4 linked regions of the Saccharomyces cerevisiae S288C genome follow. Changing the gene in region 2 together with the main gene of any one other region gives a genetic interaction. Each region holds a gene or a part of one and is shown on either strand. Other genes may lie near its edges. The genes, in order: CHL1, RTS1, CIK1 and MIH1.

Region 1 (4,762 bases), on a different chromosome or scaffold from region 2:
AATACGCTATAAACAAAAAATCCGAATTAACGAATAGTTTTGATTTAGCTTGCGTATTATCTATAGCGGCAATACTTAAAAGAGAAGCGCCAATTTACAACGGCACGTTATTGATGAAGAACAGCTTTCTCGAGGAAACGTTCAATTTAGAAAGCTTCACGGCTGACCCTGAAACTGTAACATCCACCACGAATAACACGTGGAAGAGGTGTGGTGTCACTTTGCTTCCAATACTTACAACGCATGTAAAGATATGTCCCGTGAGCAAACAACGGGTAATAGACATAAAACGAGATGATTTGAATGATTATGGTTGGTTTACAAGGGGTCTATTAGAAAGATTTAATGAAATAAGCGTATATTGTGGAACAACGCTGGAAGTTATGTAAGGATACAAGAGACAAAGAATTACTTGCAGATATAAAAAGTAGTCATAAATATCAGTTTAGTTTACTATAATATATAGTAGTAATCACAGTATACACGTAAACGTATTCCTTTTAGCGTGAATTCAGGCTGCGCATTGAAAAAAACTTCCGTGTTGAAGAAATGACCTGATGTGTTGTATGTTCGGAATTGATAGAATCTTGCACCCAACGTGACAATTTTTTCCGGAAATTGGGCCTATTATATCGCACATCGAGCAAGTAAATGTTTGCGTAATCATTTGCATGCCGTATAGCACGTCCAACACTTTGGTTGACAGCTTTCATACAAATATTCTCCATAAACTCCTTTGTTGCTCGTGAAGCTTCCTCTTCCGTTCCGCCTGACTTCATTATTTTAGCGGCCAAATGCTTCCTTTTAACTATTAGTTCTCCACTAAAAATATTTGGGAACGGCAGGCCCACCATCACCACAGCCCTACATAAATCATCTTGAAAATTTATTCCCTCTGATAATTTTCCCCCAACAATAGCCAGCAAAAGAGACCCCCTTCCCTCTGCTACCGAATCAGAATATCCAGATAGAATATCATCGCCGTCTTTTGCTTCATAGAATATTTTCCTCACGTTATTTAATGTAGCAAACCTGTCATTCTGTTTCCAGCACTGAATTACATGCGCCAAATACTGATAGCTTGGAAAAAAAGCTACAATACCACCCTTTTTAGGAACTGCTTTGCTCAGATCAACAAAAAATTGAAAAAGATGATTATTTACAAGGGAGGGAGACATTCTTTTTTCGAATGTGAACTCAAGCTCAGGCTGGTTTGTGATATAAGTTTGCAAATTCTCTTTCGGTATAACATGATTGCACGACAAGGTCGTAATGTCTTCAGAAGGAACTTCAGGTAGCAAATTCGACAAAAACTCTGACATGGGTTCCATTGTCCCACCTGCAAGGACTACACATTTTGCTTGATTTAGTATTGACTCAAAAGGTTTACTTGGTTCTAGAAGCATGTACTTTATTGAATAATTTTTCTCAAAAAAAAATTGTCCTTCTGACGTCAAATTTGTCAAACAATATAGGAATTGAGAAACCTTGAAAAGTAATGGCTGAGAAGAAACTGATTTTTTATGCGTTTCTTTTATTGGATTTTCATTTTTTGACGATTCTTCCTCTTTTAGTGCCTGGTTATACGTGTCAATTTTGTAAGCAATTTTGGAGACTTTTATATATCTCAATAGTTTATGAATGTTTAGGGTATCGATGTTACTTCCTGTGAACATATCGTTAGGATCTATTTCTTGTCCTATCTTCTTGAAATTTTTAACTATAAATTGAATCAGAGTCATCAAAAGTGAATTGAGCTTTAATAGATTTACTCTGTTACCGGGATTGAGCCTGGACTTAAATTTGTTGAAATAAGTTACTATCCCCTTATGGCAATTCTTTAAGTCCTCCAACGAGATCTGAGAGGAATATATAGAATTTATTGTTTCTATCAAATTATGAGCCTCATCAATAATTACTATAGAATTTTCAAGGTTTATTTGAAGACTTGAACGGGTGGACTCAGAAAGTAAGTATTGATATGGCAAAGTCACTACCTCCGCAATAGGAAGTGCCTCCCTCGAGGCGTAATAGGGACAAATTCCCAAAGATTTTCCCAGGGGAACTAAATCTTCAATATCTTGAATTTCTGAAAAAATCATATCTCTGAGAGCTAACGTATCAGGACAATGACGCCATTCGTTTGTATTTTGATAAAAGATACATCCCTCTTTACTATGTCTAAGGTCCGCACATGCGTCATTAATAGCTTCCAATGTTTTCCACTTCATCACTTTTGGATTAATACAAAGCTGCTTTTTCGAAGCAAGTGGTAAGTACTTCACCTTTTCATCTGGGACCTTATCCCTAAAGGATGATGGGAACGAGGGTAATCTTAACTGAGAAGTAAATTGACCTAATTGTGAATAAGTTCTGGATGCATAATATATTTTCACTGGATTTTGATTTGTAACGTCAAAGCGATCGCCATTGTTTGGATCTCTCGAAACCTTCCCATCAATTTTGTCTAAAAGTGTTATTATTTGTGAATTTAGTTCACTCAATTTGTAATCTTTATCAGATATTCTTCCTCCTCTTGTGCTTTTGGAGGTATCATTGTTTTCAGAATCTGATTCGTACGGGCGCGGAATAAAATCTTGTTCTTCAAGTGATACATCAAGGTGCCTAGCGCCTTTGCGTTTCTTTCTTAATGGATCAACTGATTTATATCTTCCATGTTCTTTATCTAAATCACACATAGTTTTCAACTGCTTACAACTGGTCGTGTTAATTTCGTTTAAATGCTTCTCATAATCATTTAGCAAATCCACCTTTTCTTGTAAAACAGACTTTCGATAAGTGTCAATAACCCAGTCTGGCTCGTCATCGCTTAGGTTTTCACTATCATCTTCATTCGTTTTGATGTTAGTTTCCATGCGGGTGAAAATATCTGCTTTATTCATTCTCAACCAAGTCATCGTGGCACAGATTAAGGACAGCGTCTTGCCTGTCCCAGTGGGGCTTTCCAGGATAGCTATTTTCTTCCCTTCGGATAGCACTCTGTATACAGTTTCCATTAACTGTACCTGAATATCATAGGGCTTATAAGGATGATAGAAAGTCTCCGAATATTCCTTTTTGTCCATTTTTTGGACTAGTGTGACTGTTTTTAGCCTGGTTTTCTACTCTTTTGGGTTTTAAGGAAACAAACTGAAGTTGCAGTAGTGCCCTCAACTTAGCATGTGCTGATTACACTAATGATGAATTTAAATATGTCAGTGATAATGTCATCAACTGTCAGGTAACAAATGAGCCTCTACCTCAACTCTGTGGTTACGATTAAAATTGGATTTTCAATAAATAGCCTGAGTTTTAACCTTTTCAACAATTGCGACTTCTCTTCCGGACATTAACTAATGCACTATATCTATTGTATATTTGGACGCGTTTGAACTTTTCATTCATGCTGCGGAAGGATAGAAAAATGAAATTTCGCCTGAAAAATAGTTTTAAAAGAATCCGATGGCAAATTGAAAAGAAAGTTGCTACTTATTATCCGGTCTAAGAAGTCAGGCAGGCAAGAGATTAATAGCGATGAAGCAAAGAATTAGTGCCCTAGATTTACTGCTGTTGGCTAGAGAGCTGAAACAGGATTTGGAAGGCTACCGATTGAGTAATATATATAACATTGCCGATTCCTCAAAACAATTTTTGCTGAAATTTAATAAACCAGATTCTAAACTCAATGTTGTTGTCGATTGTGGCTTAAGAATTTACTTAACTGAATTTAGTAGGCCAATACCTCCAACTCCTTCCGGCTTTGTTGTCAAACTAAGGAAGCATCTTAAAGCTAAACGGTTAACAGCTTTAAAGCAAGTAGACCAGGATAGAATTCTTGTTCTACAATTTGCTGATGGCCACTTCTATTTAGTTTTGGAATTTTTCAGTGCAGGGAATGTCATTCTTCTAGATGAGAACAGAAGAATTATGGCTTTGCAAAGAGTCGTTCTAGAGCATGAAAATAAGGTCGGACAAATTTATGAAATGTTTGACGAATCACTTTTTACCACAAATAACGAGTCTGCTGATGAATCCATAGAAAAAAACAGAAAGGCAGAATACACCTCTGAACTAGTCAACGAGTGGATAAAAGCAGTTCAAGCCAAGTATGAATCAGACATTACTGTTATTAAGCAACTTAACATTCAAGGGAAGGAGGGCGCTAAAAAAAAAAAAGTGAAAGTACCTTCCATCCATAAACTGCTGCTTTCGAAAGTCCCTCATTTGTCTTCAGATTTATTATCAAAGAACCTTAAGGTATTCAATATCGACCCTTCAGAGTCTTGTTTAAATCTTTTGGAGGAAACAGACTCACTCGCCGAATTGCTAAACAGTACTCAGTTAGAATATAATCAACTTTTAACTACCACCGATAGAAAGGGTTACATTTTGGCCAAAAGAAATGAAAATTATATCTCTGAAAAAGATACTGCCGATTTGGAATTTATTTATGATACATTCCATCCCTTTAAGCCATATATAAATGGGGGAGACACTGACTCTTCTTGTATCATTGAAGTTGAAGGTCCTTACAATAGGACGCTAGACAAATTTTTCTCAACAATAGAATCCTCTAAGTATGCTCTACGTATACAAAATCAGGAATCGCAAGCGCAAAAGAAAATCGATGATGCTCGTGCCGAAAATGATAGAAAAATACAAGCTTTATTAGACGTCCAAGAACTAAATGAAAGGAAAGGCCATCTCATAATTGAAAATGCACCCTTAATAGAGGAAGTTAAGCTTGCTGTTCAGGGTCTAA
Region 2 (4,473 bases):
TTTTGTCAGTTCGTGGCCTTGCCAGTGGAGATATAACAACTACTTCGTAAAGGGTCCCGAAAGAAATGAAAGAATTACTCATTTGATATAAAAATTTGCATGGTATAACAGAAGTGAAACGCGGGGACAACCATGATCTTTTTTGAGTAGGATAATTTTTTATGTCGGTTTGATATATTATAAAGCAAGTCATATATAATATCATACTGATTTTAACCAAACGATAATCAATCAGAAAAAGAAAATAAATAAAAAATCTAGCACATAGTATTTCAGTACCCTTATGGTTCTGACCTCAGAAATTATTCAGCCGCTTGTTATCTTATAGTACGTTTTATATCGTAATTTTCCTGACATTTTGGGCAGAAATCCTTTACTCCTGATATAATAAACGACGTTTTTTTTCCTGTGTTTTTTATGTTACTATAAGAAATGCAAAAAAAGAAACAATAGAAAAAGGCAGTGACAAAAATACTAATCAGAACGTTGAAAACAAATCAATAGTTTTGATAATGGTAGCATCATCGATCAATGAAGAATCCTCTTTGGCGGTAAACTTGACAAGCGATGTAGAGAAGGCTTCGAAAACTTTGTTTAAGGCATTCGAAAAGTCATACGCAAATGACTACTTGATGAAAAAGTTCTTCCATATCCCAATCACTGAAAAAGTTTCAAGGGCAAGAATAAATGCAATGATACATTACTACACGACGTGCTACCATGACTTGGATGGTGAAATTGCTGAGGCAAATGATTTCGATGCAGTCGCAATATGGAGCCGCCCTGGGTGCCACTTGCCTGCTACACTATCTGACGACGAGTCTTTCAATAAGATTTTTTTTTCACGACTTGACTGTGAGGAAGCACGAAGTCATGCCTCTGGGAATGGACTATTACTACCTTTATGCCATCGGAAAAGATCCTAGCCATCCCGAAATTAGAGGTTCAGTCAGAAAAATACTCGAAAAATATAAAACCAAAGCAGACAAGGCCAATTGCGCCCTTGCTCTCGAGGCTATTTCGGAGCACGCAAGATCTGTGTACGAATATTTCGGTTTCAAAACCTATTTGGTGTTTCAGTTCGGGGTTGGAGAAGTGAACTCCAAAGGAGAACCCGATCCGCAGGGGAAGGGATTCACGGCCTACTTGATGCTCTACCACAAAGATGCAGACACCATCTTTCACGCCTGATTTTCTTCTAAAAATTTTATAGACATTTATTGTATGTATGGAGCATATAGCAACAATAAAACTTAGACCAACATTTTTTGCCGGGTCACAACCCCCTATCCCGGCTGCGAGAAAGGAAAAAAAAAAGTATCAGACAATTGATTATCAAAGAGTATGTGAAACTACGCTTTGTTTTCCACTTCAATTGGTAGGCATGTCAATACGTCTCGTTTCTTCATTGGAAAACTCTTCATTTCAAGGATAAACCATCGTCGCCGTAAGTATTTTGGGTTTCATTTCCTTCCCCCCTCGATTTTGCTTTTTTTTCCTTTTTTTGTTAGATAAAAATATAAACCCTTCTCCATATACCTGTTCACCTCAATACCGTCTTTAACTGGCTTTTTTATTTTGTATAAAAGTTCTACTTATTAAGATCAATAGGCACGTGCTATTTTCGAACATCCACTTTCAATATGATGCGTGGTTTCAAGCAAAGATTAATAAAGAAGACCACCGGGTCTTCTTCTTCTTCAAGCAGTAAAAAGAAGGACAAAGAGAAGGAAAAAGAAAAAAGTTCCACTACCTCATCCACATCAAAGAAGCCCGCTTCGGCTAGTAGCTCTTCCCACGGGACTACTCACAGTTCTGCCAGCAGTACCGGATCAAAGTCTACAACTGAGAAGGGCAAGCAATCTGGTAGTGTTCCCTCGCAAGGGAAGCATCATAGTAGCTCTACATCAAAAACAAAAACAGCGACGACCCCTTCTTCCAGCAGCAGTAGCAGTAGAAGTTCAAGTGTCAGTCGCTCCGGTTCAAGCTCCACAAAGAAAACAAGTTCAAGAAAAGGACAAGAACAGTCCAAACAATCGCAACAGCCATCACAATCTCAAAAGCAAGGATCTTCTTCATCATCTGCCGCTATAATGAACCCCACTCCAGTACTCACTGTTACTAAGGACGACAAAAGCACTTCTGGTGAAGATCATGCACATCCTACTTTGCTGGGGGCAGTATCCGCTGTTCCATCATCTCCCATTTCAAATGCTTCAGGTACAGCAGTTTCTTCTGATGTAGAAAATGGTAATAGTAATAATAACAATATGAATATTAATACTAGTAATACTCAGGATGCAAACCACGCCTCCTCACAAAGTATCGACATTCCGAGATCATCACACTCATTTGAGAGACTACCAACACCCACAAAACTTAACCCTGACACAGATTTAGAGTTAATTAAGACTCCCCAACGTCATTCTTCATCTAGATTCGAGCCATCTAGATATACGCCATTAACGAAATTGCCAAATTTTAATGAAGTTTCTCCTGAAGAAAGAATCCCTTTGTTCATTGCCAAAGTTGACCAGTGTAACACTATGTTTGACTTTAATGATCCAAGTTTTGACATTCAAGGTAAAGAGATTAAAAGAAGCACCTTAGATGAGCTAATAGAATTCCTTGTAACAAATAGGTTCACTTACACGAATGAGATGTACGCTCATGTGGTGAACATGTTCAAAATCAATCTGTTTAGACCTATTCCACCACCAGTAAATCCAGTTGGTGACATTTATGACCCAGATGAAGATGAACCTGTTAACGAACTAGCCTGGCCTCATATGCAAGCTGTTTACGAATTCTTTTTAAGGTTTGTGGAAAGTCCTGATTTCAATCATCAGATTGCTAAACAATATATTGATCAGGACTTTATTTTAAAGTTACTGGAATTATTTGATAGCGAAGATATCAGAGAAAGAGACTGTTTGAAAACGACACTGCATAGAATATATGGGAAGTTCTTATCATTAAGAAGCTTTATTCGTCGGTCGATGAATAATATTTTTTTGCAATTTATTTATGAGACTGAGAAGTTTAACGGTGTGGCAGAATTGTTAGAAATTTTGGGTTCCATAATTAATGGATTTGCACTTCCATTAAAGGAAGAGCACAAGGTTTTCTTGGTGAGGATATTGATACCATTACACAAGGTCCGTTGTTTATCATTATACCACCCTCAGTTGGCTTACTGTATCGTTCAATTTCTCGAAAAAGATCCTTTATTAACCGAAGAGGTAGTTATGGGCTTACTGCGTTATTGGCCAAAAATAAATTCCACAAAAGAGATAATGTTTCTAAATGAAATCGAGGATATTTTTGAAGTGATCGAACCGCTGGAATTTATTAAAGTAGAAGTTCCGTTATTTGTTCAATTAGCTAAGTGTATTTCTTCTCCACATTTCCAAGTGGCGGAAAAGGTTTTAAGTTATTGGAATAATGAATATTTCTTAAACTTATGTATCGAAAATGCCGAAGTCATCCTACCCATTATATTTCCTGCATTATATGAATTAACTTCTCAGTTAGAGCTAGATACAGCAAATGGCGAAGATAGCATTTCAGACCCTTACATGCTTGTTGAGCAAGCAATCAATTCTGGTTCGTGGAATAGGGCAATTCATGCTATGGCATTCAAGGCATTGAAAATTTTTCTGGAAACAAACCCAGTATTGTACGAAAACTGTAATGCATTGTACTTATCAAGTGTAAAAGAAACTCAACAGCGTAAGGTGCAACGTGAAGAAAATTGGAGCAAACTTGAAGAATATGTAAAAAATCTAAGGATTAACAATGATAAGGACCAATACACAATCAAAAACCCAGAATTAAGAAACAGTTTCAACACAGCAAGTGAGAATAACACATTAAATGAAGAGAACGAAAATGATTGTGACAGCGAGATACAGTGAAACAGCAATTCATTACAAGCTCGAAGAAGTGAGGAAGTTTAGGGCATGCCACATTTCAAAAGAGCAGCAGTATATGAAGAGCAAAAAAGAACTGGTAAATGGGGTCAACTTGTTGAAGAAACCAAAGATAGAATCCCCGAATATTCGAACAAAACTATAGCAAAGATAAGCCACTTGGACAATGGTTGTTTGTGGCCTGAGATAAAGGTCTCTTTTTCTCATCATTTGAGCATACTTCAATCGATGTGTCTTCATTTTATTATTTCTATACTTTTCTCCAAATATATCTTCGTTTTTCTTTTCGCTTTCCTTCTTCCTTCTGCCTTTCCTCTATTTATTTTGCACTCCACTCTTTTCCGTAAACCTTGCCTATCTATTATTGGATTTTTGAAAACTAAAGTATAAAGGTATGTCATAAATAATTAAATAACAAAAAAAATAGGATCATGATACAAAAAAGTGCCTTCCCCTTAGCACAGCTGATCCAACAATTTTAAGAGCTTGAAAAGCAACCTATACGTAGTTTTTTTGGCGACTGGTAAAAAAGAACTGAATA
Region 3 (4,259 bases), on a different chromosome or scaffold from region 2:
AAGTAAAATCGCGAATTCTTCCTTGAACGCGTCTCTTGCAGGCTGAACAAAGAAGTCGCTAGTGGATCGTCACAGAATGAACACGCCCACGAGCGGGATCTGGCTCGAGTTGTCATGAATACTGAAAGTATCAGGCGCGGGGTTGTAGTAGGTAAAGAATTTCTCCAAGAGGTTGTAGGAATGGACTTGTTTACCCCTTTACGCGCGGTGTTTTCGTGGCTTTACCGCATTGGGGTATGTCCCAGAAGAGAGTGTGCGCTATTCGATTTCCTATCAGTGAAGTGTTGCGAACAAGGGAATGCTGTCGAATTAGGAAAACAAAAGTTTATTCATGCAAATTTTGTGGCACGCTACCCTAAGTTCTCGATGATGTTTGGCTGCGTTTAAGTGAGTAATTTACATCCGCCTGTTAGTCCCGTAACATTCTCTTTTATTTTGCTAGGATAATTAGGTTGATGCCACGCACGACAATGTAGCTACGTAAGTTTTTTATGTAAGGGAACGAGACGAAGTGATTGTAGCGCACAAGATCTGGCCTTCTTAATCTAGCTGAGGTAATGTTATTGTTCTTTTCAGCTTTCCCGCTAAGGCTAGAGCCTTCTCGATGTTTTCACCAGCGTTAATCTTGAAGACAAAGCACTGCTTTGTTTTAGTGAGAATATGCGAAAGGACTGAGGGAGCATCATCAAGCTCTCTATTCAGCTGTACCGTGGACATACTACCGATATATATATTCATTGAATGGGACTCTTCATCTTTTCCCAACTTGGTATCTAAAGTTAAAATGTTCATGCATTCTTCATCTTGTGACAGATCTCTAATTTCTGTTGGGTTATCTAATCCAACGTCACTGTGTTTAATACTTCCGTCAAGATGCAAAATGTTCAATGTCATCTTATAATTCTCACCGTACTGCTCAATTAACTGTTTTAGCAAAGTCTTTTTCATTGGTGCTGTGGGTTGCTGCGAAACCACTATAATGCTGCAGTTAATTAACTTGCTGATGTATTTTTCCAGGAACGGAATGCATTCGTTATATAAGCGTTTGTGATCCTTATGGATTTCTTCGAGAACTACTCTATCAAATACTTGTACCCGTTTTTCTCCACTATTCTCGCAAATGCACCGATCCACATAGTTGATATGGAATTCATCAGGCATTTGTCGTTCATTGGCATACGCAAAGCATCGGGTGTATCCTTTGATTTCTTCAATTGAAGTGGCCAGATTTTGTCGTGTGTATAATTCCTGTTGAACCTTTTCTAGTTCATTAACGTACTTCTTCTTCCAATTGTTTGCTTCTCCTTCGACTTGCTTCTTCTCCTCCTGCACTTGCGTCAATGCTTGTGATGTAGAAGCAAGCTTCTTTTTGAGAGGAACAACGGCAAGTTCCATGCTATGGAAGTTCACTTCTGCCTCTCCAATCCTTTTTTCAAAATCGTTAAACTCATCTCTACACGTCTTAATATTTTCTTTCAGTTCACCATGGGTGTCTTGTAGGTCTTTTAAAACTTTCGAAAGTCTTTCTTGCTCCCCATCTAATTCAATTCTAGCATCGTTCTTAACTTTCTTGAATATCTCGAATTTCTTGTCCAATTCTTTTTTGTAGTTTTTACACTCGTTCTCATTTTCATTCTGTAGAATGAATAGTTTCCTATTGACCTCCTCGAATTCTGTTTTAAGCTGTCGCATTTCGTCAGTTAACCTTTCGTCAGGTTTCAAATTTTCTACTTCCATTAATTTATACGTCCACTCCCTTTTGGCATTCGATAGCTCTTCCTCTAAATCGTTTTCGAACTCTTGTACTTTTACTGCATGCATAGACACTATATTTTTTGATGATAGCTCAACATTCTTTCTTTGAAGATCACATTGATTATCCTTCAAGTCCATCTCCGTTGATAGTCCATCAATCTCATTTTGTAGCTCCCTGCACGCTTTGACTTTTGCATCTAATTCTAATGTTATTGCAGGTAGTTCCCTGGCATGAATACGAACAGATTCCTTTTCAATTTCAGAAATAGCATTCAGTAGTGAATCTATGTCTTTTCTAACCTTACGTTCATTGTTCTTAACCCTTTCAATAATCTTGGGGTCCCCCCCAAAGGTTAGTTTCTTAGTATACGTAGCGGAGGTGTCATCAGTGTAGCAGCGCCGTATACCAGATCCAGAGCTGTGCAATATATTTAGCTTGTTGTTATTAGGAGTTAGTATCATATCCATTTCTCTTTTCTGAACCTTCTGTCGTTTTGTCTTTGGAAAGTCTCGAGTGACGTTGTTTGGATCACTATGAAAGGAAAGTTTAGGAATTTTGGAGTTATTCATCCTAATAATAAAGCTTATGTCAACGAGTTTCAAATGCCAAAACAAATATTAAAATAGTGAATAGCTCTTATATATACACGGTCCAACCCTATGGCACAAAATTCACTTATTTAGGCGCTTAATTATAATGTCGTAGTTGTGTTTCAAAGTTGCTTCAGCCAAACGGAAAAGCCGCCTAAATGTGTCGATCAGTGAATGAGCTCAATAACGTGTGGATATCAAAAAATAATACAGTAAAGCCTTATTCTCGGACGATATGCTCAATGGTCAACGACTGACTAGTTTTATTTTGATACGAGCTACGACAGTGGTATCTTTCATATACTAGAATCATATTAGAGAGTAAATAAGAACAAAAATGGTAAACAAACAAATATCACTATGGACGATATTACTGATCACATGACTGTCTAATTTTCAATGAAAGTTAGGAGTGGAGTAGTCGTGCTATATAGGGCAATTACTATTCTTGGAAAAGTGTAAAGCTTTACATTAAGTTGTATAAAACGAATCAACCGCACTCTTTACATTGCTGCATGGCTTACTATGAGTTCCCTATTAATATCATACGAATCTGACTTCAAAACAACCTTAGAACAAGCCAAAGCGAGCTTAGCAGAGGCCCCCTCACAACCGTTATCACAGAGAAATACTACACTGAAGCACGTAGAACAGCAACAAGATGAGTTGTTTGACCTGCTAGATCAGATGGATGTAGAAGTTAATAACAGCATAGGCGATGCCTCAGAACGTGCTACGTACAAGGCGAAGTTAAGAGAATGGAAGAAGACTATACAGAGCGATATCAAACGACCACTGCAATCCTTAGTAGACTCAGGCGATCGTGATAGACTTTTTGGAGATCTTAACGCATCTAATATTGACGATGACCAAAGGCAACAGTTGTTGAGCAACCATGCAATCTTACAGAAATCGGGAGATAGACTAAAAGATGCCAGTAGAATAGCAAATGAAACTGAAGGAATAGGGTCACAAATAATGATGGATTTAAGGTCACAGAGAGAAACTTTGGAAAATGCAAGACAGACCTTGTTTCAAGCGGATTCATATGTGGATAAAAGTATAAAGACACTAAAAACAATGACTAGAAGGCTAGTTGCTAATAAATTCATAAGCTATGCCATTATCGCAGTCCTTATATTATTGATTTTGCTAGTTTTGTTCTCAAAGTTTAAATAAGGTGGGAAAACAAATTCAATAAAAAACCTCTAGAATCTAAAGAACATGTCAAGGAACTATAGAGTTACCTTCACTAGTAATATCAACGCTACCTTACTGATAAAAAACTACTGCAATTAAATATTCTATAGATCAAAATATAGAGGTATATCGTTGGAAATATTTTTCAAACGTACAGATATTGAAGGTTCACCGCAGTTAATCAAGACACATCCTTATTCAACGGACTCATTGGGTCCATTGGGTCTATATCCTCATCTTTAGCCTTGTCAGTTACTTTCATATTTTTCACCTTATCTTTTAGCTTGCCTATAAGCTTGGTTTCAAAGTTGTGACGATCTTCAGGTACCACAGTTTCGTGAATACCTTCCTCTTCATTCATTTCCTCCATCAAATGTCTAGCCTTGTCACTTGAAATGCTGCTTTGTGGTGTCAACCCAGAATGGGTGCCCCCTATCCTATGATGGCGCTTTTCTTCTTCGGTTAAGTCCAAAATGGTGGCAGTGTAGTTTACCAAAGACTTTGCACTCTTACGTCTTGCCATTCTCTTCATTTTGGGACCTTGCTCAGAGCTCTCTGTTGAAGCGGTCGTTGCCACAGATGATCTTGGCGTACGAGGTAGTCTTACACAGGATATACCTACATCACTTATCCATTTGGCCACAAGAGCAGTCCAACCACATTGGTGTGAAGCGCCAAGCCCTCTTCCAGTATCACCGTCAAAGTATTCAAAA
Region 4 (3,924 bases), on a different chromosome or scaffold from region 2:
TCAAGAACCCAAGTAATTTATCTAGAGATGACATTATCCTTTTCAAAGCTCCTACAAACCCTCGGAAAGTTTACTGCAAAAGGGTTAAAGGTTTACCGTTTGATACCATTGACACGAAGTTTCCATACCCTAAACCTCAAGTGAACCTGCCCAGGGGACACATATGGGTCGAAGGGGACAATTATTTTCATTCGATTGATAGCAATACTTTTGGCCCCATTTCCAGTGGGTTGGTCATAGGGAAAGCTATAACAATTGTTTGGCCACCCTCCAGGTGGGGAACGGATCTCAAACTGAGTACCGGTAGAGACTGCATTAGCAAAAGAGCCATTTTAGAATGAAAATCAGCTTATTTTTATGAATTTAGAAGTGACCCCGGTATTCAAATGCAAATTTTTTATATTATGTGATTAATCTAATGCAATAAATATAGATGATTGTGATTTATGTATTGATGTTGTTGCCGTTCGGTTCCTGAATATATACTTCTTTTTTTCATAATACTTCATGCACATGTAGTATCATTTTTTATCTTCAGTCTCTAGAGAAGGGAATAACGATCTTCTTGCGGGCCTGGGTAAATCTTCTCGGTCGGAACCAACGAAAGTAAAATCTCCGTCTTGCTCTTCATCTCCACTTACTTGCTGATGATTGCCTCTCTCATCTTCGAAACTAAAATATGATGGGGTATCCAGTCCGTCCATTAGTAGCATATGTGAAGTGCTTAGGTTACTGTTACTACTCATAGACGACTTACTTAAGATGGGGAAGAAATTTTCGTCGCCTGTACTCTCACTTGAATTTAATGATGAACCACTAGAGACTCTTCTGTGGTTTAATGACAGCTTCGGAGGCGGCTCAAACCTGAACGATAGTGCAGAAGATGCCATTGTTGTTGAAGATTGATGGCTATCTCTATAAAAGAAGTTAGGATTTGAAGGGGAAGCTAGTTTTCTAAAAGAATTATTTTTAGTAGCAAATCTTTTAGATTCTCTCCTAAACTTATCCATTTCTTGTTCACAATTCAGCAAATTTTCTTGTGAGTTCATTCCCACGTACTGACGTGGATAACATAGTTCAGGAAAATTGTCAAAAACAGCTTTGTATCCGCCATCCAATATCAATATGTCGGGATAGAATAATTTGGGATAATGATCCTGATTTATTATACGATCACAATTTCTCAAATGAGAGGCCAATGAAGGTCCCCGGTGGGAACTAAATTCGCAATGGATAATTAAAAGAGTTGGTAGAGTGTTGTTGTTGCTAGTATCGCTATGCAAAACTTTATGGATAAATTCGTACTCTAACTCATCTCTCGAGTGTATGTTAACGGAGTTTATTATGTGGCCGCCAGTATATTCGTATTCAAACCGACAATCTATAATACGACATGAATTATAAAATGACTCGCACATATTATTCTGCAGAATATTTTTCAACGTTTCTGGAGAAATTCGAGGGAAAAAGTCATTTGAGTTACGATCGTCATAATAATATGGTATCTGTGTTTTGGCTAGGCATGATTCAAAACATTTCACCCCTACCGAATTAGGAGCTAGTGGACTGGATGACGCAGACGTGAAGTTCAAAGTATTCTGAGTAATGTTAGAAAATTTCTGTGAACTTTTTCTCGATGACCTCGGAATTTTCCCATCTTGCCGTTGCACCCTCCTGCTTGAATTGCTACTGCTATTCATGCTTGGCTTTCTCGACAAGGACCTTGACCTTGAAAAAGAGCTCGACCTCTGGGGACTGCCAGGATACTTGATTCTACTTAAAAGATCATTATCCCTATTATTGGTCAAAGATCTTCTTGATGAGTTTCTTGTTGGACTTTGTAAGGTTTGAGAAGCAAAATGCATGCTTAAGACTATATCATCATTTTCATTTTCATTTTCATCTAACTCATCGCGATGGCCAAGCTGCTTTATATTCGGTGAAGGACCATCAATTTCCTTACTCCTGTGATTTGTTAACAATGGAGATTTATCAAAGGCAAGATTCTCTTTATTGATTAAATCATCGTCGACATTCGAATGTTTGCTTTTTGACTTAAAGAAGGTCTGAACATTTCTAAATATGTTCTTCTTCTTACCAAAGGGACTTTTCAAGGAAATTTTTTGGAAACTAAGAACGTCTTCATTGGCACATTCATCTTCAGTTCCATGAAATATATTGTTCATGGTTTCTTCACCCTCGCTGACTTCAATCCTGGTTTGTCCACTGCTCTGTTTATCTTTTGTCTCCTTTCAAGTTAACTCTCTTTTCTTTGTTTTCGCTTGTAACTTTAAGTTTTCTGATATACGGCATCGAAACAGGGAAAAAACAGATAAAGCATAAAAAAGAAGGAAATAACAGAGTGTAACTGTTGGGGAAATATCATAATGAGAATATTTAAACGCCGGAACAATGTATCAAAAAGGGCTTTACCGCTAATAAGTGGAGTATCTATGCTTTTTTGACGTATACAATGGACAGAAAAAGCGCCATATAAAACATTGAAGCCCCTCTTCATCCTTAGTCCTGAAAATGAGGCCTAGGAAATTAAGTATTCGGCAAAGATACATAATACAGTTCTAAAAGTAGCAAACTGGTAGATACTATTTGTGGCGCAGTTAGCTACCCCAAAATAAAAACGGTAATCTTCTCCCATTAGGGGCACCCCTCTTGCTTTTGTACGATGTGGTATCTTCGATTTTCAAACTGACAGGCATATTGCACAGCATAATGCGCACGGAATTCATTAAACTGTACGGATATATATATGATATTACGGTGCCATATGATATTATACAATATTATACTGTACTGTACTATATTATATTATATTGTATTAATTATATTATACTATACCCTATCATACCAAATATTTTGGCTATATTAATTTTTATCTACGTGTATCTAAGTTGTTACAGGCGGGGGAACTGAATTCCTTCAAAATGTGAAGGTACCGGAAAAATGGCAAAGAATCATGATAATAATAACAATAAGCCGTAAGCTTCATAAGTCATTGAACAGAATTATCTTATGAAGAAAGATCTATCGAATTAAAAAAATGGGGTCTATTAAATGTCTCCATGTTTTTTATGAGTCTTGATGTGTTGCGACAAATTATCGCTTCTACTAAATTTCTTATCGCATATGTGACAAGCAAATGGTCGTTCGTTAGAGTGAACAGATCTCACATGCCTTTTCAAATGTTCGCTGCGCTTAAAGCTCTTGGGACAAATGTGACAGTGGAACGGTTTCTCCTCGAGTTCCTTTGTTGATTCTATTACGACACTTGATCTTCTGGACGGTGTCATTGATTTTCTCCTGTAACTTGGCCTTCTTTCCTTCGTAACCCCAGCACCATTGCCAGTTGAGTTGACACTACTACTGCTTATATTATTTTGTTGATTTGTAAGCGGCACCGTACCCATCAAAGGCACAGCAGACTTCCGCCTCCGAAGGGAAGAACCGATTTTAGAGTTCATGGTATGGTGACCCTGCTGTGGGAAATGGTGATAGAAATGATTTGTTGCAAGAGACGTGGAGGATGATGATGCAGGCGATAATGGAGCCATATTCATTTGAGTGATGGAAAGATCGAAATTTGGAGTAGAATTAGCATTTTGTTCACCTTCCTCTGTCAAAAATGGCATATCATTACTCAAGCCTGTAGTCGCCACTTTCGCAATAACGGACGCATTGTCTGAAAGAATCATAGACGGTTTGATAAATTGTTGAGATGAACTCAAATTTGAATTCGGCAGCATATCGTTCTTGGGGTCTTCATCCTGCTTATTAACCAGGTCGTAGCTTAGTGAATCATCGATTATGGGTAAAGAAGCTCTTTGCCTTCTTGAATAAAGATCGCTGTTGAAGGATTTCATGTTAGTGCTACTGTTATTATGTGACGAGGTGAGCTGCTTGTGTTGA

What was found.
Region 1: mutations in RTS1 (region 2) and CHL1 together harm fitness more than expected from each alone (negative genetic interaction), as found in Saccharomyces cerevisiae (5 studies listed by BioGRID, with this or other methods).
Region 3: mutations in RTS1 (region 2) and CIK1 together harm fitness more than expected from each alone (negative genetic interaction), as found in Saccharomyces cerevisiae (4 studies listed by BioGRID, with this or other methods).
Region 4: mutations in RTS1 (region 2) and MIH1 together harm fitness more than expected from each alone (negative genetic interaction), as found in Saccharomyces cerevisiae (4 studies listed by BioGRID, with this or other methods).

The regions. Positions count from the first base shown.
Region 1 is NC_001148.4:537,709-542,470, reverse strand, and holds CHL1 (DNA helicase), read right to left. Parts: upstream 3,087-4,762; coding exon 501-3,086; downstream 1-500. Other genes in the region: transcription factor TFIIIC subunit TFC8, read left to right, coding at 1-389; RQC2 (Rqc2p), read left to right, coding at 3,535-4,762.
Region 2 is NC_001147.6:356,031-360,503, forward strand, and holds RTS1 (protein phosphatase 2A regulatory subunit RTS1), read left to right. Parts: upstream 1-1,643; coding exon 1,644-3,917; downstream 3,918-4,473. Other genes in the region: YOR012W (uncharacterized protein), read left to right, coding at 513-926; YOR015W (uncharacterized protein), read left to right, coding at 3,963-4,322; ERP4 (Erp4p), read right to left, coding at 4,431-4,473. UniProt on the Saccharomyces cerevisiae protein: The B regulatory subunit might modulate substrate selectivity and catalytic activity, and might also direct the localization of the catalytic enzyme to a particular subcellular compartment. Multicopy suppressor of ROX3 and HSP60.
Region 3 is NC_001145.3:657,811-662,069, reverse strand, and holds CIK1 (Cik1p), read right to left. Parts: upstream 2,326-4,259; coding exon 541-2,325; downstream 1-540. Other genes in the region: v-SNARE protein VTI1, read left to right, coding at 2,872-3,525; YMR196W (uncharacterized protein), read right to left, coding at 3,728-4,259. UniProt on the Saccharomyces cerevisiae protein: Together with the minus end-directed microtubule motor KAR3, involved in spindle midzone assembly, karyogamy (nuclear fusion) during mating, and with an essential function in meiosis I.
Region 4 is NC_001145.3:341,335-345,258, forward strand, and holds MIH1 (putative tyrosine protein phosphatase MIH1), read right to left. Parts: upstream 2,187-3,924; coding exon 522-2,186; downstream 1-521. Other genes in the region: IMP2 (endopeptidase catalytic subunit), read left to right, coding at 1-341; stress-responsive transcriptional activator MSN2, read right to left, coding at 3,069-3,924.